5 linked regions of the Daphnia pulex genome follow. Each later gene encodes a partner of the first gene's protein in a complex. Links are inferred from orthologs where the notes say so. Each region holds a gene or a part of one and is shown in the gene's direction. Other genes may lie near its edges.

What was found.
Region 2: coiled-coil and C2 domain-containing protein 2A-like (region 1) and B9 domain-containing protein 1-like share a complex: the UniProt entries of both Homo sapiens proteins name them as parts of the tectonic-like complex. The link is inferred for Daphnia pulex from reciprocal best matches to the Homo sapiens genes CC2D2A and B9D1.
Region 3: coiled-coil and C2 domain-containing protein 2A-like (region 1) and B9 domain-containing protein 2-like share a complex: the UniProt entries of both Homo sapiens proteins name them as parts of the tectonic-like complex. The link is inferred for Daphnia pulex from reciprocal best matches to the Homo sapiens genes CC2D2A and B9D2.
Region 4: coiled-coil and C2 domain-containing protein 2A-like (region 1) and transmembrane protein 17B-like share a complex: the UniProt entries of both Homo sapiens proteins name them as parts of the tectonic-like complex. The link is inferred for Daphnia pulex from reciprocal best matches to the Homo sapiens genes CC2D2A and TMEM17.
Region 5: coiled-coil and C2 domain-containing protein 2A-like (region 1) and meckelin-like share a complex: the UniProt entries of both Homo sapiens proteins name them as parts of the tectonic-like complex. The link is inferred for Daphnia pulex from reciprocal best matches to the Homo sapiens genes CC2D2A and TMEM67.

Annotation. Positions count from the first base shown.
Region 1 is NC_060026.1:1,917,855-1,921,697, forward strand, and holds part of coiled-coil and C2 domain-containing protein 2A-like, read left to right. Parts: intron 1-40; coding exon 41-381; intron 382-443; coding exon 444-870; intron 871-974; coding exon 975-1,225; intron 1,226-1,295; coding exon 1,296-1,547; intron 1,548-1,615; coding exon 1,616-1,931; intron 1,932-1,994; coding exon 1,995-2,201; intron 2,202-2,265; coding exon 2,266-2,471; intron 2,472-2,536; coding exon 2,537-2,712; intron 2,713-2,780; coding exon 2,781-2,895; intron 2,896-2,959; coding exon 2,960-3,035; intron 3,036-3,118; coding exon 3,119-3,238; intron 3,239-3,308; coding exon 3,309-3,443; intron 3,444-3,507; coding exon 3,508-3,801; intron 3,802-3,843. UniProt on the Homo sapiens protein: Component of the tectonic-like complex, a complex localized at the transition zone of primary cilia and acting as a barrier that prevents diffusion of transmembrane proteins between the cilia and plasma membranes.
Region 2 is NC_060017.1:7,404,718-7,409,789, reverse strand, and holds B9 domain-containing protein 1-like, read left to right. Parts: upstream 1-1,595; 5' UTR 1,596-2,062; coding exon 2,063-2,230; intron 2,231-2,312; coding exon 2,313-2,655; intron 2,656-2,732; coding exon 2,733-2,863; 3' UTR 2,864-3,721; downstream 3,722-5,072. Other genes in the region: protein catecholamines up-like, read left to right, coding at 1-730, 796-995, 1,063-1,314; prominin-like protein, read right to left, coding at 4,310-4,319, 4,437-4,868. UniProt on the Homo sapiens protein: Component of the tectonic-like complex, a complex localized at the transition zone of primary cilia and acting as a barrier that prevents diffusion of transmembrane proteins between the cilia and plasma membranes.
Region 3 is NC_060024.1:10,638,128-10,642,149, forward strand, and holds B9 domain-containing protein 2-like, read left to right. Parts: upstream 1-2,263; 5' UTR 2,264-2,304; coding exon 2,305-2,392; intron 2,393-2,477; coding exon 2,478-2,738; intron 2,739-2,824; coding exon 2,825-3,003; downstream 3,004-4,022. Other genes in the region: GTP cyclohydrolase 1-like, read right to left, coding at 65-164; tectonic-3-like, read left to right, coding at 3,017-3,809, 3,887-4,022. UniProt on the Homo sapiens protein: Component of the tectonic-like complex, a complex localized at the transition zone of primary cilia and acting as a barrier that prevents diffusion of transmembrane proteins between the cilia and plasma membranes.
Region 4 is NC_060027.1:837,904-842,735, forward strand, and holds transmembrane protein 17B-like, read left to right. Parts: upstream 1-1,821; 5' UTR 1,822-1,845; coding exon 1,846-1,957; intron 1,958-2,045; coding exon 2,046-2,149; intron 2,150-2,219; coding exon 2,220-2,531; 3' UTR 2,532-3,499; downstream 3,500-4,832. Other genes in the region: derlin-2-like, read left to right, coding at 1-36, 122-269. UniProt on the Homo sapiens protein: Transmembrane component of the tectonic-like complex, a complex localized at the transition zone of primary cilia and acting as a barrier that prevents diffusion of transmembrane proteins between the cilia and plasma membranes.
Region 5 is NC_060020.1:7,747,591-7,753,062, reverse strand, and holds the start of meckelin-like, read left to right. Parts: upstream 1-2,277; 5' UTR 2,278-2,311; coding exon 2,312-2,624; intron 2,625-2,703; coding exon 2,704-2,969; intron 2,970-3,024; coding exon 3,025-3,216; intron 3,217-3,277; coding exon 3,278-3,562; intron 3,563-3,622; coding exon 3,623-3,744; intron 3,745-3,806; coding exon 3,807-3,966; intron 3,967-4,038; coding exon 4,039-4,100; intron 4,101-4,175; coding exon 4,176-4,398; intron 4,399-4,472; coding exon 4,473-4,673; intron 4,674-4,733; coding exon 4,734-4,999; intron 5,000-5,079; coding exon 5,080-5,254; intron 5,255-5,314; coding exon 5,315-5,377; intron 5,378-5,440; coding exon 5,441-5,472. Other genes in the region: nucleoporin SEH1-like, read right to left, coding at 601-764, 838-998, 1,061-1,407, 1,483-1,634, 1,693-1,849, 1,913-2,023. UniProt on the Homo sapiens protein: Required for ciliary structure and function. Part of the tectonic-like complex which is required for tissue-specific ciliogenesis and may regulate ciliary membrane composition.

The DNA of each region.
Region 1 (3,843 bases):
CAATTTTTTAAAAATTAACCCGCGAATTTTTGAATTTCAGAACGGCAAATTAGTCGAGGGTCAAACGACGGCCGGTCCGTTTGCCGAGCGGCAGGTTTATCCTCTGCACGTTTTCATCAGCGGAATAGAGTTCCATCATCACTGGCTGTTTGGCGTCGAAAATGTTCTAGCGTCCCGACTGGGCCGACAGTGGGCCGATTACTCCTCGACCTCGGCCGATTCGGCGGCCATCACCGCCGCCCAAATGGACGTCCTGGCCCGCAAATTGCGGGCCCTCTACCAAGCCCACGACGAGGCCGTCGAACTGGTCGAGCGGCTCCAATTCAACGGAGCAGACGAGGCCGTTATGGCCGCCCAGCTCCAGCGCATCGCTTCCTACCGGTTCGAGAGAAAACAAAAACTCAAAAACTCAAAAATTCGTTTTGGCTGATTTATGACTTTAGGGAGGCCATTGGTTGGACCCGAGGGGACTACTACGCGGCCAGTGGCCGCCGAATAGCATTAGTCCGCTCAATGATGGCCGACTGGAAGCGCTTGAAAGACATGCGCACCAGTCAGGGATTCGCCTGCACCAGCTGTCAACTGTCGGACGGGCCAAAGAAGAAGAGGAAGAATAAGAATAAGAAGAAAATGACAAGTGCTGCTGGTAGACTGGCCGCAGAAGAAGATCAACACGAACAACAACCACCGCCACCGCCGCCACTCGATTGGGATGAAGAGATGGAGCGACAGATGGACGAATCCCGTAGACTCTTCCGCGAGCACGTCCGCTCAGAGTCTGATCGATACAAGCGTCAAAAGGCACAATGGAGGCACAAAAAGTCGACTCAGAGGACGAGTGCAAGTACCAGAAGTACCAGGAGGAGAAAAGTAAATTCTAACAAATCAGAAAAAAGTGGGAGGCGTATGAATGAATAATAGGACGATGAAATTTCATTTTTCATTTTTCCCCCTATTCAATTATAAAATTCCAGGAGATGACGAAGCGATCCGATTCTTCTTCATCTGAAGAAGATGAAGAAGAAGAGGAGAAAAGAGATGAAGAAAAAAGTGAAACTGACGACGAGCCGGAAGCGCCAGTGCAACGTCAATTTGACGAGGAACAGACACGAGCAGAGATCCTCAAAAGAATGCAAGAATCGCTCGTGCCACCTGGTGAGACGATGCCTAACCTTTTGTGGACTCCCAACACTACCGCAAGTCCGTCTGATGTCAGCGACGCTCGGTAGGTGTCTCGTTTTGGTTTTTAAATTTTGGCGCTAAATTTGAATTTGAAATTTTTTAAATCGACAAAGAGAACAGAGGAGGATCGACGCAATCAAGAAATGCGTTTACCAGGTCAAGATTCTAGTCAATCAAGAAGAAATGGCCGTTTCAGACGTCTTCCACTTGGCGGAAGACTTTACGGCGGATGAGATTCAACAGGCCTTTCATCTGTGGATCAGAGACAAACCGCGAAACATTTCCATCCAATTGTTCTACAGAATTCGGAACAATCAGAAAAAATGGAGTTTGCTGGCCGACGTAAACGTCCCCATTCCATCCGCGTAAGGAAAAAAACAAATTTAAAATTTTCATTTCCTAAATATTTTGAAAATTTCTGTATTCTGTACAGAAAGACAAGTTTCGCCGGACAGCCGGAAACGCCATTGAAATTCAAAAGTGGTTTGGTTCAGCAACCCATCGTCGATCTCGCCAGCGTGGGTTGCGGAATCAAACAACCGGGACGGGAAGAAGATGGCGAAATGTGGACGAATGGAACGCTAACAATCAAAACCGGATGGGGGACAGACAATCAGGGCAACGTTATGGCGCCAAACAACATCGATCATTTGCCAACAATCATTTCCGAGCCGTCAGAATGGGTCAATCCCAAAGTGCAACTGGATCCAAACGATCCTGCCAATGCTGAGACGTTGGACAAGATCGAAGTAAACAAATCAAATTAGTTTGAAGGGAATTTCTAACTTGAAAATTAATTCAATTATATTCAGAAAATGAACCGGCTGGAATGGAGGGCCGGCAAAACGGTGGGGGAAGTCATTAAAGAAGACGATGGGGACACATTCTGTTCCAAGGAGCAATTCGATTCCAACGTTCGTTTCCAGCTGCTCCGGCGACGGGCAGATGAAATTAAACCGTTCGGTCATTTGACTATGATACCCAGTCGACCGGATGAAATACCCAATCACTTGATTCACGTAATTTTCTAACACGCCCGTCACCATTTCAAAATTGATTCAGAAAATTAATTCAAACTTTCAGTTGATAGATGGCAGTGCTAAAACGGGTTCGTCATTCGATCGGCTGGAAACGGAAGAGTCCGTCAATCCGCTGGATGCATTAAGGCGAAGGGGTCAGCGAAAATGGCTAGAAATTTACCCAACAGTTGCCGATCGACTATCATCTTCCAGCCAAAAAAGGCTCCAATTAGCCGATTTGGTCATGGAAGATCACATTCCCGACATCAGGTAAAATCAAACTTATCCGCAATTGATAATTCATTCAATCAAACAAAATCGTGTCGTCCATCCAGCACATTTGGCGGCCAGTTGATGCCCGTCTTCTTCAAAGCGCATCGACCTCTACGTCCGGAAAGAAAAGAGCGAAATCCTGTGCCACTTCTGGCCGGCCTGGCCATCCATACGACGGAGCAAGTCAGCCTGAGAGTCAACGTCATCCGAGCGCTCAATTTACCTCATAAAATCGAAAGTACTTGACAAAAATTGAATTCAAAATAATAGCACGATTTTTAGTTTTAAATTTCCCGCCTAAATCAGGAGATTCAATGGTCCACCCGTTTGTCGAAGTGTCTTTCCAAAAATCCAGCGCTCGAACAACAGCTGGAAACGGTACCAGTCCCACCTGGAACCAAGAACTTTGTCTTCCAGTCAAGTATTTAAAAAAAAATACTCTTTTAAAATTCGTTAAATCTAATCAAACAAATCGAATTTGACAGTTTTGCGGAAGGAATTCGTTCACTGGCTTATTTGCAATCCATCCGAGACGATTTGTTCATTCAACTTTTTGACGAGGTTAGGCTACTTAAAAAAATATTTTAAATGGTTAAATTCAACAAGAGATAAACATCGATAAACATTCACAATTTTTTGAACAGGTTGTGGTCGATATTTTGGACGACGACCGTCAAAGGGATGTGAGCGTCCACCAGCGGTACGAGAGGCACTGGCTGGGTGGTTTTAAAATCCCGTTTCAAGTCGTCTGCAAGTGGAGCAAGGTTTAATGTTCTTTTCCTTATAAAAGCAAGTTGAATTCAAATTTGACCTGAATTTTTCAAATGCAAATAGATCGAGGGCACGTTCGCGCTGAATATTCCAATGGTGCCCATCGGCTACGAGTACAACCACTACAATCACGACGGACCACTTCTGACAGTTTTAATTTCAATTCACCCAGCCGTCAGTCCCCCCAGGATCAATCAGGTGAACAGAAAATTCAAAGAGCTGAGTGTGTCATTCAGGACTAGAACGCCTATCCATTGACTAGATCAACGGACCAAGTATGGAAGACCTGGGCTTCTTGGAATACGTCAACGGATGGCGGAGCGGATTAATCAAGGAATTTCCATTTCTGGACGGCCTCATCAACCCGTTGGTTGTCAACGAAAAAGCTTTGACCGTCTACATCGGTCGCTACCTGACTCCACTGGAACCGCCTGAACAACTCCAAGGTTCCAGTGACGAAGAGACTTTGAAAAACCTTTGCCAATTCGTGGCAGCCATACCGCAAGAACCAAATAACCGGCCCATTCTGACACCCAGGATTTGGTTCACCTGTCAAGTAAAAATTTTCAGAAAAAAATAATTCTTTGGAATATTCAAA
Region 2 (5,072 bases), on another chromosome or scaffold:
CACTCTCACGACCATCACGGACATTCACATGATCATCATGGACACTCGCACGATCATGTAGAAGAGCGGCCTTCATTTAAGTATTCCAAGGAAGCGAATATTCCGAAACCTCCTCCACCCCCAGCCAAGAAAATAGAAAAGGAACATCACCATGGGCATTCGCACGAACATCACGGACACTCACATGATCATGATGAACACTTACATGATCATCATCATGACCATCACACAGAAAATGTTGAAGCTCCCAAAAGGACAACTGCTGCCTTATGGACAGAAGCCATTGGTTCCACTCTAATCATTAGTGTAGCACCGTTCATTGTGCTTTTTTTCATTCCCATTGACAGCAGCCCTGAACGACAGCCCTTGTTAAAAGTTTTACTTAGCTTTGCTTCCGGTGGACTTCTTGGTGATGCTTTCCTACATTTGATTCCGCATGCATTGATGGCTCATTCTGAAGATGAGGAACCTCATTCGCATTCTCATGGACATTCTCATGGAGAGGGTCATTCTCATGGGCACGACATGACTGTTGGACTTTGGGTTCTCTGCGGCATTATTGCCTTCCTTGCTGTTGAAAAGTTTGTTAGAATTCTTAAAGGTGGCCAAGGTCACAGCCACAGTCATGCTGAACCCAAGAAGGATAAAACAACTGATGCAAAAGATGCGAAAGACGGAAAAGCCAAAGAAAAGAAGGAAAAGAAAACCAAGGAGGTTGCCAAACCCTCTGGTAAATATTTAGTTTATTTTTTGGTAGTATGTCATTAAATCTGTTGTATTATTCCATTTCTTTAGGAGACATCAAGGTAGCTGGATATTTGAACCTGGCTGCGGATTTTACCCACAACTTCACTGATGGCTTGGCTATTGGTGCGTCATTTTTGGCTGGAAGAAGTACAGGAATCGTAACAACAGTCACAGTTTTGTTGCACGAAGTTCCCCACGAGATCGGGGATTTCGCCATTCTCATTCAGTCAGGCTGTGATCGCAAAAAAGTAATTTCAAACGCTCCGACAATCTCAAAGTAACAGGAATCTTAATTCTCCACTTTCTATTGGACAGGCTATCTTTTTGCAGCTTATTACAGCAGTGGGAGCTCTTACTGGATGTGCAGTTTCTTTATTAGCAGAAGGAATCGGTGCTGCTGCTACTGCCTGGATCCTTCCGTTCACAGCCGGTGGATTCATTTACATTGCCACCGTTTCTGTCATTCCTGAGCTTTTAGAAAACAGCAAATTCTCACAAACTTTAATGGAAATCGCTGCCTTGTTAGCTGGTGTCTATATGATGGTTTTGATAGCCGAATATGAATGAAAAATTGAGATACAAATTGTTTCTATCTAAATCCCATCTGGCAGGGCTAGACGATGGATTTTAACTTTCATTTCTACCACTTCGAACCCATTGTCTAGCCTGCATTATGCCTTGTAATTGTTTTGTCACCCGAGCAAGATACTTAATAAAGGTATAAAATAAATTTCACGATTCTATTATATTTTTTCTTATTTTTAATTTTTAAAATTTAGCTTTTTATTGAACTTTAACTGAGCAAACAACGCTGGGAGGGTAAGATGAGCCTATAAGTCTACTTGGTTACTATTCAATCAAAGGTGGTTTATTCATTGAAATTGCGTTATCAGTGAAAGGCGACAACTGTAAATAAAAACCATATAGGAAATAGAACAATGTTGGCTATTGTGTGTAGTTTGTGCGGTAACTGATACCAGATTGAGCAATTCCCTTTGACTGGGCGCCGAGACGAGTCTACAAAATTTTGACTTTCACTTATTCTCTTTATTATTTTGATGACTTATTCATCATACAAGTTAACTCATTCATTTCATTACTGAATAGAAAGATACAATCGCTAAAATGCAGAAAAATTGAATAATGCCCCCATTTATTTCGCTACGTAGTCATAGGGGCGGCGGCATATATTAGACGTAACCATGGCAACGAGTCAGCCCGACAATCGAAACAAACGAGCCAGCAGTCGGTGTATATTGTTGTGATGTAGAGAATTCTTAACGTTTTTTTCCAGTCAAGCACATCTTAATTTAGAATGACATCGGTAGCAACTTCAAATGGACCCGTCACATCTACTCCTCTGATAGCAACCAGCTTTTATTATTCCGTCCAAGGCCAAATCCGGCACGGAGAATTCCCGCTCAATTCCCAACTTTACGTCAAAACTTGCTATCACCACGGAGCTGACTGGATCTTCTGCCACGTAACTAGATACACAGTCAACTTTGTTTGTTTTTTTTTTTATTGTAGAAAAATGACTTTGCAGCTCTTCGTTTGACGCACAGGGTATTGAAGAAGGGTTAAGTCAGCTAGCCATTCAAAAGTCATCTGGGGGCCGAGAATTGGTGTGGAATTTTCCTTTACAATCGTCGTGGAAGAGCACGAATCCCCACGGATGGCCTAGAATGATCGTCAGTCTTTATGGACCCGACGAGCTGGGTAACGATGACGTCGCATACGGCTATGGTTCCACCGTTTTGCCCATCTGTGCTGGGCATTACACAAGAACACTGGCTATCTATCGGCCGCAGTCACAATCTCTTCTGCACAAATGGACCAGTTGGTTTACCGGGCGTCGTCCTGAATTGATTGATCCCAAAACTATTGCCCTCAACGAAGGCCGTGACGGTAATACTCCACCAAGTTATTATTCAATTATATAACTTTATTTCAAAAGTTGATTCAATTTGTTTTCTCTCGTATAGTTCTCCGAATGGAAACTCTGGGCTACGTCACGGTCGAATTCCACACCACTTTTAAAGATTTCCAAAGTTTAGGCTACGATTCATCAATCAGTGGACCGGAAAAAGTATCATCCACTTTGCCTATTTTTTAAGACAAAATCAATTATAAATTTACAAAATAAATGAACACGGCTACAGGGATATGAGCAACACTTTGAAATGAGTGTATTTCTTTATTTTAATTTTGTTTTCAACTAAGTAGACGACACCATTAATGGTGGGTGGCGGGGGAGGTTAAAGACATCAAAGAGCGAATGATTCTCTTAAATGACGAGATTCCGCGGGAGTCATTTTACAATTCAAAAGACGGCCAAAAATCAGGGGAGAAAAGAAGAAACACGAATGAAATCGTAGTTTGATGTTTAAAAAAAAAAAATTTTGAATTTTTTAGCCCGTCCCAGCTGTGAAAAGAGACGGAAATTCTCAAAAGTTCGCCAGCAGCGGCAGCAGCTTTTGTGTGTTGTTATACATAATACAAAAAAGGGGGGGTGGAAGATTCAATTAATGACAGCGGATAGACGAAGAAATATGGAACGGGTGACATGTATAACAAACAATCAAAAATTTAGTTTCCTCCCCTCAATAATTGAATGGCATTTTTTCTTCAAAATTTCTTTTTTTTTTACGAGGGAATAAGAATAAACACTTATCGAGATTCGATTACTCCGAGCTTTAAAAAAACAACAAAAGAGATTGACTCTTTTCTGTTTGGTTTGAGAAGGTATTGAAAAAGTATTGATTGAATCATATTATAAAGAGAGAGAGAGATTTCATCAACAACAACAACAACAACAAAGACTTTTTGCTTCCTCCTCAATTGCTCATCAAAAGTACCGAACCGTGAGTAAGTAAGAGAGAGAGAAAGGGAAGAATTGAAAATCCCTTACTATACTGGGCTTTGGTCTGATGATGACGACGAAGAAGAAAAAAGTTTGAAACAGCGGCCCAAGTCCCCACCCAAAAAGATAGACAGGGAGTTCAACCAGAGACAAGAGAGAAACGTACGTGTTTCGAATGCTCAAACACGCCTTTATATCCTGTTATACACATATAAAGTAGGAGCAAATGCACATGTCATCACACGTTTAAAGAGACAAATTGCCAAGAAAAATCACATAAAAGGGGGGGGGGGCCGGGGGCGAGGAGTGCATCCATGTGCAAGTCGGGACTTTTTTTGTTGTTTTGTTGAAGAGATGAGAGGAGAGATGAAACTCTGAAACTCATGAATAATGTACAAACACGTTCACTCTTACATACACACACACGCGCGATCGCTCCGCCGAGGATTGTATACACACACACACACACAACATTTGACGTCTGTGTGCGCGCGCAGATGCGCGGCAACACGACGACACGCGAAATGGAAAAAAAGAACAAGTGGAGGAAAACAATCAGTACTTCCGCTTCCCCTCCGTCATCAATCCAGCGACGAAAAACAACAACTCGAAATGGAAGCAGCAGCCGGGGGGGAGAGAATGGAGGATAGACGTCATTCGGGACGTTGATGGAATCGAGGACGAGATCATCAAAGCTTTTCACTTATCGCTGCAATCAAAAGACGAGAATCATTCAGAATCCATCATCAACTTGAAGAGAGTAGACACACAGCTGCTCTCTCTCGAGAGGCTGAGAGGACTGACTTTTTATCAATAAAATACTCACGCTGGTCCTGGATAGTAATACGGCGGAGGTCTCTCGTAGTCGGCGGCGGATGGAGCGGACGGGGTTCCGCCTCCCGGAGTTCCAGCGGACGGCGATGTGGCAGTAGCAGCGGCGGCAGCAGCGTGAGTGGGAGATGCCACGTAACGGGGAACACTTCCGTCGCCCCAGGCTCTTGGAGCTGGATCTTGAAAGCGGCCGGGTGTCTTTCCATTGCGTTCCGACGGGGCCACTACGGCCGTTGAAGAGTTCACTCCGCCGCCACCACTCGAAGCCGATGAAGTGACGCCGATACGATTGCTGGCACTCCCGTTACCCGTCCTGGCCTGATGCTGCGAGATGCTGTAATCGTCTTCGTAAGCGCCTCCGTAAACGTGGCCGTATGCGTGACCCGATCGGGTGTTGCTCGGGACTGGGATGCCTCTACGATCTCGACTTTTTTTGGGGGAAAGAAATGGAAATTTTTTCGTTAAACATGGAATTTTCAATTCAGATGTTGGAGAAATCTCTTTGAACGTAAAGGGACAAACCAGAAACATAAACAGAAAAGGAAAAAAGACCAAAACATTTCTTTTGTTTTAAGAAGAAGAGAAAGAAAGGAAAGACAGAAAAAGACAAGTATATTGAGACAAATACACA
Region 3 (4,022 bases), on another chromosome or scaffold:
CCAGCTTAAACCTCAACAGCATTTGTCTTAAACTCAAAGTAGAGGAAGGAAAGTGGAAACTAACCGATTGTCCGTAGTCCATTAGTGATGGATTTACACTCGGGATCATCTCCGTTTGTGACAGCCGCTCCAGCTACTGGCTTACTGCCTTTGAAAGCTTCCATGTTAGTAGTATCAGATTGATTGATCTAAAGATTGAAAATTGAAAAAAAAAAAGATTACAAATAAATCTTGCTATTTTAGTATTTTTCCTATTCAAACAGTAAAATGGAAAAAAAAACGGGAAATTTAACAATGGAAAAGTCATTTTCTTGATTCTGTACCTAATCTTTTTTTGAGAAATAATATATATATATATTTTTAAACTAAATGTCCAGCTGCCTGTTGGTTCTGCCACTACTGGTGCTGTTGCTCCGGAGACTGTGAAGGGACTGAACCTCTCTTCTGCCGACCTTCTTTATATAGTGCGTAGGGCGCACGCCGAGAAGCAAAGCAACAATGCTCTCGTTTCATATTCGGGTTACCCAATAACGCCGCAAGCTTATATAACACTCAATCAGTCCGCATTTGATAGATCTCGTTTAATAGAAAGTGAACAGCAACCAAAAAAATAGGTGATTAAGGTGTAGCTAGAGCAAATTAGATAAAAAGTGTCGAGGAAAGTTTGGCGGGAAAAAACGCTAAATTTGATGCAAGTGCATTGAACTGCAGTTCCGAATAAGTGAACGCCTCACATATAGGGAACCCTGTCACGTAGACCAAGAACATTGGTATCCTCTTCCTTTATCGTCTCGCTGTATGCAATTATCAGATTTTTTTTTTCCCCCGGCCAAAAATGTCAATCGAATATACGAAATATATTGAGGAGCGCGGGGGCAGCAGCGCGAAAGACTTTAACAAGAATTCAATCGCCCATAGAGAGTGCCTTGATGAATCTTTGATGAAAATGCCATTTATTTTCCACTCCCGACCCACCCAAGCCGACGGCGGGACTTGATGCATCTACGGATCGATTGCTTCTGTGAGAGAGTAGATTGGATCAAACGACTCGAACGCTAAAAGCTGATCTCATGTTCATTCATCGAGCGTTGAGAACTGCAACACGGTGCCCTCAAGGGGCACTGTAGAAGGTTTGAATCGATCTACTTTCCCCCCCTCCCCACCCACGATCCATTCAACTTATGGGGCAAGTTGCGCAACAAGATTTATCTATCGGTTGTTTTTACTATCAGCTTGTGAATAATGCCCATCAAAAATTGTTTGCGTATGTGCAGCACCGACGACACAATATACTGTACAAACTACAAACTGATGATCGATGGCCACACTTTGGACGTTCAATCAATTACATTAACAGATTTCATCAGAATCCATCAACATTGATTGGATATGAAATAAGTGACAATAATTTCAAATAGCATTTCAAATTACACAAAGTTCCATAGATCAATCGCTATAAAAAAATTACTAAAATTATAAGCCATTAAAGCCAAACTTGTACAAATTTATGGTTAATTGGTTATATAGAGCAAAACTTGTACAAGTTTATGGTTATATAGAGCAAAACTTGTACAAGTTTGGCTAATAAAACTATTGCTTGTGATGAAGTGATGCAAATATTGAAATGACACCTGCCTTTTAAATCGAGCAAGGTTGGAGACAGATCTGCTACTGTTGAAAGACTAGGTCAAGGCTTCCATACCATCCACATGGAAACTGCAAATATTTCAACATAAAATAGATTATAATATTTTTGAAAGTAAAATTGTGCAACAAAATCCAAATGGTTGAAACAAATATATATACTTACTTGAGAGATTGTGACGGTTCAATGAACATGTGTGCCAATTTAAACTTGCAATGAAGTGAAATAAAGATCTTTGAAAGCCAGGAAACTTTAAAAGTTAGCCAACACACAAAAAAGATCTTGTTAATATCCAAACAAAAATATTCTGAGAAATTTGTAGGAAAAAAAAACTGGTCCAACTTTTAAACTCTCAATTCAGTACAACGAACGCCACTAGTTATTTCTAGGTTGAAACTAATACTACTATTACTGTTCTCGCTTTATTGAGGGTTCTACATGTAATAAGATAAGATCAAAATCTTTGTTGGATAAGTTATACAAAAGGAAAACCGGATTCAAATCGTGTCTCTTAAAAAAACAACAAAACTATCTTGACAAACAAGCAGACGACTTTGCCATTGTCATAGTAACTAGATCACCCATGGCAACCTTTTGTTTGTTTTCTTTTCGAGTAGTTGGCGTCTCTCTCATATTAGTAGTGGGATGGAAAAAGGGATATGGCAGAACTACATTTAATCGGGCAAATCATCGGCGGAACAGAGTTTTCCGAGAAATCAATTTGCTGTCGCTGGCAATTATCTTCAGGTAGGTGCCAATCGGCTTTGACGTGCGCTTTCTCTCTTTAAATGTGATCGGGCTCGTTAACGTTTTGAATTGTGAAACATCACAGGTGAAAATTGGCGTGTTCTAGAAGGAGCCACTGAAGGCCAGACGCAACTTGACACACCACAAATCGGTTCTGTGAGCAGCTGGAATCATCCACTGGACGTGCACTGGGCTACTCGAGGTCTTCAAGGCTGGCCGCAAATTCACCTACAGATTTACCACCTGGACGCTTACTCACGAACCAATTTGATAGGCTACGCATCTGCATCCATTCCTACACGTCCCGGCATCCACTACATCGACGCTCCGGCCTGGAGACCTTTAGGTTTTTATTTTTTCTTCGTTCCCTTTGTAAAAAGTAAAACCTGTCCGTTTAGGAGTTCAGAGTGATCAATTCTGGTTTTTTAAAAGGTACATTCACTGAGGAGTTGATGCGTCATTTCATTGGCGGTGGAGTCGAGTTGGCTGACGCAGAGCGAATCCAAAACGGAGCCGATCGATCCCGTTTGAGAACTGAAGCCACCGGAAGAGTCTACTTGGAAATAGGATTAGTCTTCCGCGATTTCAAAAAGTTTGGCATCGAGTACTAGACGTCAAAAGAAAATGGCCAAGTTACCCACCCTTCAGCTGCTATTCGTGATTCTACAATTTGCCCTGCTCATCTCCAAAACTTTCGTCTTTACCCAGTCCGCGACGCAAAGTACAGCAGTCGATCAATCTGAAAGTAATAACCAAACCGACTTGAATCGAAAAAACCAGTCGAGCACCGATTCGACGACGGCGGCGACACCTATGTCAGAGAATTTAACCAATTCCTTATCAACAGCAGATATAAATCTAGATGAGAATATTTTCCTTTATCTCAACACCGAGTCGTCGTCGGAATCCATTCCGACAACGACCGTCGCTCCCGAACAACCGGAATCGGATCCGTTCGATTACAATTTGTTCTTCTGCACTTGCGATTTGATTGGCGGAGAGTGTGACGTCAACTGCTGCTGCGATCCCGACTGCAGCCAGGACGACCTCCGCCTATTAAATGGCTGCTGGTCGCCGCCCAGTTCGTATTTCGACCGTTACTATTGCTCGCCGGATCCTGATCGTTACGGACTCGTATGGAACAATACGCCGGAATTCCGCGTCCAGTGGAGTTCTCGCAGCGGAATGTTCTGCATCGTCACAGACAACGTCCCTAAAAAGAGATTGTTCGAAGATCAAGCTCCCGTTACCGAAGATGAGCTTTTCAAGCACATCTCGCCCAAATTGTCCGGCAGATGGAACGATCCGGAGAGCCAAGAACCCAGTGCCGGATTGGAACAATGGATTTATCAGCCGTACTACAAGCAAGGGTCGCCCATCTTCACTCTCCATATCAACGGGATCGTTAGCGTCTTGAGTAATTGCCTGAAATTCATTTTTTTTTAAATTGAATTATTGATGCGAATTTGTTTTAATTGCAATTTCATTTGTCAGATTTACCGCGTTCGCTCAATAGCGCTTCGTGCAACACGGCCCAAACGGTCCATTTCCTGGAATCTGATAACGATTACCAGTGCAGTCTGCCGGGCGAGGATCGATGCCGTCCAACGATTCGTCTTGAAGAATGGCT
Region 4 (4,832 bases), on another chromosome or scaffold:
TGGAGGCAGAAGACTCTTGGCCACGCCTCGTTTACTGTATGCAACAATTTGGCATTCTCGAAAAGAAAAACATCAAAGATCGGTCAAGGGGTTCACGGTTTCTTTTCTTTTCCCCCCCTAGGAAACTTTTGTTCGACACGCACACTGAAGACCCTCTTTACAATCCGGCTCCTGACGAGCGTCCTGGGGGTTTCGATTGGGGCGGTGCTGGTGCTCCGGGAGTGGCAGACGCAGTCGCCGACCAGCCGAGAGAAAACGAAAATCAGTGAGGAAAAGAAAGAAAAAAAAGAGAAACAAACACAATCGTCTTTTTGAAAAATTACTAAATGGCAAAAGAAAATACATGGAAATTTGTTTAATATACAGTTGTCGATGTTCGCCCTCATTATTCCTTCTACACAGTGGCCCGGTTTTCTTTCGCTTACCAATGACCGACTAGCATTGACATACTGCTTTGTTGCAACGTTTACAAATATCCAGCGCTTTCCCCTTTCTCCTTTTATGGCCATCTTTTAACCGTGTCAAGTTTACACGCAATCAACCGTACTCGTAGTGTCCATAGTGCAGTTCTTCGCCCATCCAACTCGAACATTTTGGGAACACACAATCAAAATCGGAGCGCACTAGATAATGAATTAATATTCTATTGATGTGAATAAACAAGACTATTCCCTTTTTCGCTAGCTCAGAGATGAAGGGGAGGCGGACCGACCATAAGTCAATCTGAGATAACCGATTGCGAATTCTAGTGAAAAGGTTCTTTGAACGTCCAAGTTTGCACCGAGCGCACAGCGATTTTGTTTCAAGCCAACAAATAGGAAGGAGCAGTTGTCAACCTTGAAAATGATACATTCCCATCTGAAGCATAAATGTCCAAAAAACTCGATTGCATTACGACGCCTTGTTTGTAGTGAATGCGCCAAAGATTTCCAAATACACAACTTGAAGGTCGCAAATCTGTCAAACTAACAAGACTTGCTATTTGTTTGGAGTCATTTGATTTTCTAATCCTGACCTGCTACAGAGATGATGCTGCATTGGGAAAGGCTTATGCTACAGCGAGTTCACTGCCCTGATCACACACGCAGTCCTCAATTTTGTTTTGTTTCTTCAAGGATCTTTTGAACTGCTTAAAGATGTTTAGTCCACCAGATAGTGGAAGCAGATACTGGAGTTGGGAATGTTATAGTCTAGAATTGAAGAGATAAGTAGAAATCAAACCTGCACGATGACGAAAGAAATCAAATAAATTTAGTTGAAATTGACTCTTGTATACATAAATCTAATTAAGAAACAGACAACTTAGGCATTATTTTTTCTTTCCTTCTCCTCAAGTAGTCTGAGATATTCCCGTTCCTCTTTCTCCTTCATTTGGCGAATGGTGTCCTCAAACATCTTTTTGTTCACCCTGCTTTCGGCAGGGTACATTTCTCTCCTCAGATTGATCATCCAATCTTCAAAATACTCTGCCTGGTTAAAGTAATAGAAACAACCAACTGGGAAAATCATGTACATCCCCATTTTGGCTGCTTCCAGTTGCCAGTTTCCCATGTTTGGATTGTGAAACCTGGACAAGAAAGATGAAAAATAATTTTCCAGCCATCGATCCTACAAGTTTTTTCACAGCTTACTTGCTCTAATATAATCGCCAAGTATTTTATTCACAAAACAAGTTTGTACGTGTACCACACAGCACATGTAATACTGTGACGGGAGAAAGTCACGAATGAAAACAGCTGAGTTGTTCTGCTAGAGTCGTTGCCATGGCGCCCAGTTTGAAATGCCCAAAACAATCGGCTGTCATTTCGTTCATAGCCAAAAGCCATCGTCGAAAGCGATGAAATAATGGGAAGACAATCAGTTCAAAATGTTGTGGATTCTTTCAGCGATAGAATATTTCCAGGTCTGTCGGATATACCTCAAGATTTCTCATTCGTATCGGGTCAAAGTGACATAGGTAACTTCAATTCTTCTCAAATCATTCAAGTTCTATCTATTGCGTCTCGTACTTTATGCTAAACGTTTGATTGTTTTATGGAGCAAAGTTTATGATGTCCAATCAAGTTTGGTACTGCAAATGTCACTATACTTCAACTTGGTCTACTACCCAGTGTGGCTGGCGATCATCCTGGCATCATTTGTGGCAAAGGTATTTACATAATACGAAGAAAAAGTCATTGTCTTACATTTCACTCATCATCTCTTGCTACATTTGGCAGCACCAATGTTTTGGCTGGTTCTCGTATCTCCTTCTTGGAATTGGAGTCTCTGCCTGCTGTGTGACGGAAGCCACCAGGATCTACTTGGGCATGTCTGGCAACCTGAGCGAGCAAGTGGCAGAGCTGTCCACCTTCTGGTTCACCACACTCCTGGTCCAGCTGCCACTTGTGACAATCATCCTGATCGTGGCACTCAGCCTGAGCCAGATCCTGGAGATTGTCGCCTTGTCCATCTCCAGTCTCCTGATGGCAGTCCAGCTGTGTGTCTCGTTCGCCACACTTCGTAACGTGGCCCGCCTTCGCCAATTTTAGAAACCTTGAGCCAGGCGAGAGAGAAACTATACCTCTACGTCTCTCTCTCTCTCTCTCTTACTTTAATTTCCACCTCGTGTCGACAGGTTTTTCTTTCGTTATAAAAGCGCATCAGGGTTCTGTGTGAGACGACGAAAAAGAATCAGATAGACAGAGAGAGAGATGAAAATGAAAATGAAAAAGAGAGAGAGAGAACTCTTTTGGTAGTATCTATATGCACGCGAACCGCTCGCTGGAATTTTGTTGGGGTTTTTTCTTCTTTTTTCTGGCGAGTGACCAGCGACCTTGACATGGCGGAATGAAACACACACACACACAGACTCCGACTACTACGACTACTACCACACTAAACTATACTCAACAAATAAGCAGCAACCAAATAAGTGAAAGGAGGTCCGATGAGTCAGAGAATCTCACAGGATCGCCACAGAAGAAGAAGAAGAAGAAGAACATCCAAATGGTGTTTGGACAGAAAAACGAAGATAGGGAGAGGGTGTGAAAAGATATCGTCTCAAGAGCTTGTTATTTCCCCTTTTTGTTTTCTGTTTTGTGTCGCACACAAATAAAACAATTCGACAGGTCATCGGCATCACTACACTCGACGAGGTCACCACGAGTTTTGGGGGAAATCTTTTTTTCGTCTTATACAAGAAGAAGAAGAAGAATCTGAAGGACTCGGAGACGTATACCAGCAGCAGCAGCAGCTCGATGCCTCTGACCTGTTGATGTTATACCTTGACCTGCTTTTCTCCCCTTCTGTCGTATATAACCATTTTTTTTCTTCTTCTTCTTCTTCTTCTTTTGTCGCCCCTTTTAATTCGTTTAATCAACACGATTAGCAATTCCAAAACATTTAGATCTACAGGTGTAATTGATTGATGGATCAGGCCGGAGCACAGACACACTCACCTGAGACATTTTGGTGGGGAAATTCCCCAATTTAATACACACAAAATTGCGAAAATTGATTATTTTTGTCATTGATTGAGTAATACATTTTTTTTTTAAGGGGGTGATCACCTTGCTGGGCGATTTGACGGCCGGCCGGCCAGTGAACTTGGTGTCCGCGAGGTCGTGACTTTTTTTCGAAATTTCCCACGGGGGTTTTGATATTTCTAATTCTTTCATGTATAGGAAATTCCAAAATGTCCAAACGATGACTGTGCAGCATGCACACACTATCAGAGTTCTCCCCCTTTCCCATTCACCTTGTCGGACGTTTATCCACTTGCGAAATTAACAAGTCCTTTAATTAGAAGGGTGTGGGAGGAACGTGGGAAAAGAAATGAAAAAGAAAATGGTCGTTGAGGTGGGCGGAAACGAGTTGTGACGTGTTCCAACACGTCATTTTGGACCGAAATCTTTTCGTCAATTTACCTGAAAAAAAAGGTCAGTCCATTAAACTGGCGAAACGTCATCAGCCTACGTGACTGATGACACAAATGAATTTTATTTCATTGGAATCGCCAATTGATTTTAAGTTGAAATCGCATAGGACAATTTCATCTGAGAGTCAACTTTTATTTCTCTTCTCTTATTCTGACTTTTATTTTTTCCAAATTGCGATTCGAGTTTATTCCCAGTTGTGGGAATAATTTGGCCATTGTCATTTTAAAGTCAAATGCCAAAAGTCGTAAACTGTTTCATTATAAATGTCTAAACGTTACGTTTTAAAAACCTTGTGTGACGGCCGTGTGTGTACGCATAAACAAAGTTCAACAGAACTTATTCCCACACGGGCCGTTTTTATGTGTACATTGTGAACTTGAATGTCATTGAAAAACAACTGCCAGGAGATGAAATCTTCCGATGAAGCTGGGCCATTTCAATTCAACGACATCAAACTGTCCAAATGCTCATAGAAACAAAAATATTACGCAACATTTTTTCGTAATTCACCAGAGATGATTTTTAGACTCAAAAAGTCAACAAATAATATTCGTTAATTCACTGCAACTGGCGAATTCAGTAAAACGAAGATAAACTGCTAATTACTGATAAAAATTCACAAAAAAAATGGAAAATTACATAAGTGTTATCGGAATTCACCAGGGTATTTACTAACAACAACACACGTGAGTATATTTAGACCAGCGAGAAATAGTGGTCAAGTTATCCTACGCCAGATAATTCATTTGGGACACTGTACGTCATTTGTGTTCAGAGTTGTTGGGGGGGGGCTATCTTTAAAGGCTGCATAGCAGCGATACACAAATAAATACTATACCCCATAAAGTTGTTGACGTAGAGACTCACAATTCCCCGTAGGTAATTATATATTGGACTAAAATATATATTTAG
Region 5 (5,472 bases), on another chromosome or scaffold:
CGTAAATTTTTGTGATGGCTATCACTAGTTTAGGGAAAATCACGAATAGGATGATTTTCCTATATTTCCTACAGACACATGCAATCGACCCAAAATTTGACGAAGATCACAAATCCTTAGTTCTTTTCTTATTTGCGTCAAAATAATACTTACTGATAATATTTACGGAACTACTGACTTTTAAACTGGAGGTAGACAAAAACAAACGTTTGCAAAAATCTAACAGGTGAGTTTTGTAATATTCAGTTTTTGTCAAAAATCACAAAAATGACCTTACAGTTTATTGTTGTAAATGTCCTTAGAGATGTGTAAATGTATGCAGTAATGCAGCTGAAAATGATCAAATCATTTGAATCATTTCCCTCCTAACAAAAAAACAAATAGCTACTCTACTAGAGAAAAGTGTTTTTATAACAACTTGACCCTAAACGAATGTGACATGAAAAAATGACATAGTTTAAAACTCCATATCATTTCATTTATTTCTTCAGAACAACTTTCCATTTTCGAGACCATGGGTTTCTCCAGAAATGAAAACTCCCAGTTATTTGTGTGGATTGGAAGAGACATATTATTATCATAAAAATTGGGAAGTAAATGTTAGTGCCAGGGTACTTGATTTGGATTGCTGATTGCGCCAAGTTTAAAGTAACGAGCAGTTGCTGCAGAAACGGTTTTATCACGATCAGTTCCGTCTTCTGGACTTACACCCGATCCATCACCTTTCAACACGGCAATGCATTTCCAATTCTGCAAATAGTTGGCTGTGGAAATAGACAGTAAAAACAGCTGATTTAATAGGCCAGACATGGCATTAAATATTTCTTGATTTCTTGCCTTTCCACATTCTTAAACAGCCGTCATCTCCTGAAGAAGCTAGAATAGTTCCAGTAATGTTCCAAGAGATTCTCCAAACAGTAGAATGATGGTCATCAAATTGGGCTGCCTGCAGTATCTCCAACTGGGAAGTTGGACAAGCTGCTGCATAAGCATCTTTCCTTTAATAAAAAAAATTATAAATTTATTCTTATTCCATCCTTAAAATATTTTAACTACTTACTGAGGTGGTTTAAGAATAACTATTCTAACATCTTTGCTTGCAATTCCTAGAATGTGGTAACTTCTTCCCAAGTTAGGTGCAAATGCTATGTCATGCACTGGGTCGACTATTGTGTTGATAGTTTCAGCTTTAGACCAGCGATGGGAGCTTTCACTGTACTCAAACAGAAACACTTTTCCACCAGAGGCGACATTCGTGTCATCACTACCAACTGCCAACATTGGAGGATGGAGACGAGAAAATGACGGATTCCATGATAGACAAGACACAGGCATTTTCAGTGTTATTTCTTGCTGCAAACTCCATTGACTTAGGTTCATAATGTCTGGGGCTTCATATATTCTAACCTATTATGTTATAAAATTGACATTTTCATCTGGTTTATATATTTAACAATGTAATAAATATATCTTAGAACTTACTCCTCCATCAGCTGAACACATAGCTAACAATAGTCCCATGTGTTTTGGAGCAAATTTGATGTCAGTCACATTGGTTCTTGAATCTACCAAACTTGTCCTTTTCACCCAATGACTTTGGTTTTTACTCTGCGTTGAATTCCCTGATTCACCAACTGGATATGCATTTAGTAACTAATTTAAGTTGTTAAAATTGTAAAGAATTTTACAAACCAATTTCTTCCCAAATTGCAGCTGTTCTGTCAAATGAGCAAGTGGCTAAAATTTGACCAAATTCAGGATGAGCCCAATTTACTTTCCAAACAGAACCAGCATGAGTCTTCCAATCAGCAGTCAATCTCCATTCATCATTTTCATCCAGGTCAAAAACCTTGAAAGATAATTCCGCAATTTAGTTAACACAAGAAATTTTTTTCGATTTCTAACAATTTACTTTAACACTCTGGTCGGAGGAACAAGTAGCCAATCGACGCCCATAAAAATCATAAGCTACATCATGAATCAGGTCTTTGTGTTCAGCATTTATCGTTCTTGCTTGAAACATGTTTACAGAACTTTTTAAATCACTTCTTAATCACGAGAAACAAGTTTTTGCTTGCAAATTTCACAGAATTAAGAAAGCAAGAACGCAAGCAGCCGACAGCTCGACTGATCAAACTTCAAATGTATGGCACTATGGCAGTATGGGACAGTTGTGGGCGTTGCCAGATTGATTCATGAAAGAAACGATGTTTTTTCTGATATTGTTGGTTGGCTGACTTGGCTCATTGCTGGGGAGTGGTTGCTAGGTAACAAATATGCTTTACAAAACAAACAAAAATTTAAAGTGACGATGATCGTGTTAGTTGCTCATTACCTGCTTTTTTTCATCTTAAAGAAGGTGGAGGCTTACGATGTCATATTGTCTTCGTTTCCTGAAAGCTGCAATCGTTCCTCCTACTTTGATTCGATATCACATAAGTGCAAAGGTTGCGGGGTCTTTCAAATATCTTCCGATGACCGTTTGAGTTGTGAGTGTGGCTTTGGCTACTACCCTGAATTTAATGAAAAGTCCAAAGCAATTGAATGCTTACGCTGTAACCAATCAATTCAGTCAGAAATGTGTCTAAAAAGCAATCTCACGTGTGAACCGTACGACATCAAAGGTATGAAAAACGCACATTTACCTAGGTCCTATCTGCTAAGTATAGTAAAGAAGAATTAATTTCTGAATTTTTATCACAGTCCTTCAAATTACTGGAAATATTACCTCCGCACGATGTCTGAAATGCCCGCTTTGGCATCAGCCTGATGACACAAAATCTTCGTGCGTTCCTTGTTCGAACATGTGTCATTGTCCTAGTGAATACGAAGATGTGAACGGAACTTGCGTCAAAGATTTATTCACGATTCCCGAAACACCCACTATCTTTACATATAACTTACACGGGAGACCTTACATTTCTAATTATTTGCGGAATTGGGTTAGATTGACGGCAATTAAATGCAAGGTAGGAATTATTTACCATGTTTGTGCTATTAAACACCAATTTTTTTTCTTTAAAGGCACACGGTGGAGGAAAATACTGCGAACATCTGATCAATCTCTGTGTCTTAACGGATTACAACTACGATTCTCAGTCAGCTTGCTCTCTTTATCGACAATTATCTGGAGGCTTTAGCAATTCAATATACTACGACGATAGTCAAAACGAATATCTACTAAACTCCGCCAGGATAAACATACTGAAAGATCAAGTAGCATCTATAACTTTTACGGACTAAACAGGAAAAGTTTTTCATTAATGACTTTTTTTAGAAAATGGATTTTATGGTTAAACAATACGCATTAGATGGTACATATTTATTGATCCAGCCTCTTCAATCGGTTTTTAAATCATTGTGCTGCACTGGAACTTGGAAACCAATCCAACGAAATGCCAATATTTATCACAGCTGTTCGGTTTATTCGAAAGTTTTCAACATGGCTGATATGCGCTTTTATGAAATTTATTTCGTTGATCGGGCAATTAATCAATCAAGATTGATCAACGTTCCAATAAAAATATTGAACCTTGTTCGCGGAGGCGTTCAACGTAATAGGGTAAGTTTATACGCTCAGAAAATACAACATTACTACGGTACTAAAACCTGATGAACAAAGGAGGATAAAGATATTTCTCGATGGCAACTCACAAAGAGGTTCTTTAATTTTGACTCGGCAACTGGAAGTAATCAAGAAGGAAACACCGACTTCGTCCGATATCTATCTTCTCTTACTATTAGGTAAGTTTTTTCATTATAAAAAAAAAGCGAGAACAACTTTGAAACTTGAACGCATTTCTTAGAATTTCTGTTATGTCTGGTGAAAAATCACTAGCATTACGATTACCTTATGCAACAATCAACTACGAATCTATTGGTAGCCTTGAGAATGGAAATTCACCCGTTATTCATTTCGCTGTAAAAAATACCGTTAGTATGGATGAAGCTATGAAATCTCTTGAGGTAGAAATTATCACATTGTTCCTCGCATTCACAATCACGTTATCAATAATGAATTTTTTGGTTTATCAATAGATTGCACTGAGCGTGTTGAGCACTTTCGGGGCTCTTTATGCTTTGATAAGGATTGTCGTATGGTATGTACTGGCAACTTTGGATAATTTGATTAGCTAACTTTGATTGGGTTTTCACTAATAATAAATAATTTCCAGGTACATAAGATCAGATAAAGCAACAATTGATCTTCAGACTCTAATTCGCTTGTTGGTCTACGGAGCAGACATATTGGCCAACGTAATTTTAATAGTGATTTTCTTCATCACTTTTTACTGGTTTATGACCTTTCGACAACAAGAGGAAGTGACTGTTAGTCTTCCTGCAAGGCAAGAAGAACAGTTTATTAAAGACCTTGTCATTAGTGCTTTCACGTTAAAGGTCTGAAATAATTGGAACTATTCATAGTCAGGTCATTTTAATTGTATCCGATTGTATCTATGGATCCTTTGCAGACGATTAGTGTATTATGGATGATCGGAGAACAATGTAACGTCGATATTTTTCTTATTGACTGGGAGAGTCCGAGGCCGACGAAAGGCGAAATAGTTAGCGTATGGAGGATGTTCTTTGTTGCTAACGAATGGAACGAACTTCAAGTAGCGCGTAAAAGCTCTATATCCATACAGGTCATTCTAGTGTTATCGACACTCAAGGTATAATTAGTGAGCTGTGATTATAATGAAGCGTGAAAATAAACACCAGTCATTTGGTAGGTCTTCCAGTTTGAGCGATTTTCTTTAGAAATTCCAGCTACTTATTTCATGGCAGACACGTTTTTAAATTACAACACAGTGTTGCGCCTAGCGCTTGGTTTGTCCACCTATCTCTTCTTCAGCCTAGCGCAAAATATTTTGAATGCCGCGCTCTTCGAACGTTACGTTGAGCACAAAATCCAACGATTTACTGATGTCTGTACACTTTCAAACATATCAGTTTGGCTTCGAATTCACTCGCGCTACGGCTTCTACATTCACGGAAGGTTCCTTATCTTCTCAGTTAACTTTTTAAATCTTTCTTGGTATTAACAATTCAAATATTTTACTTTTGACGGGCATTTAGATCGCCGCATGGATTTGCAGACATCGACATGCAGACCATGTGTCAACAATTACAAAGGGAAGAAGAAAATCTGTGCGCTCAACGAGGTCTTGTTCAGGGTCAAGACACTCAAACGTTTTCCATTTTCTTCCACGAGACTCTTTCAGATAAATGGAGAAAACTTATAAAGAATCAGGTGACGTCTATTTACTTTTATTTACTTTCCGTTTCAATTGATCTGATAATGTTGGATCAGTCTAGCGGTACCAGCACTCTATTTTTCAAGCTGAATGAATTTTTTACATCTTTCCTGGATCATGTAGGTTTATCAACCTTTTACAATATTACTGAATTGTACAAATGAAGGCTTATTTTTAAACAGGCTTTCAGGGAACTCGACTACGAAGTGCGTGA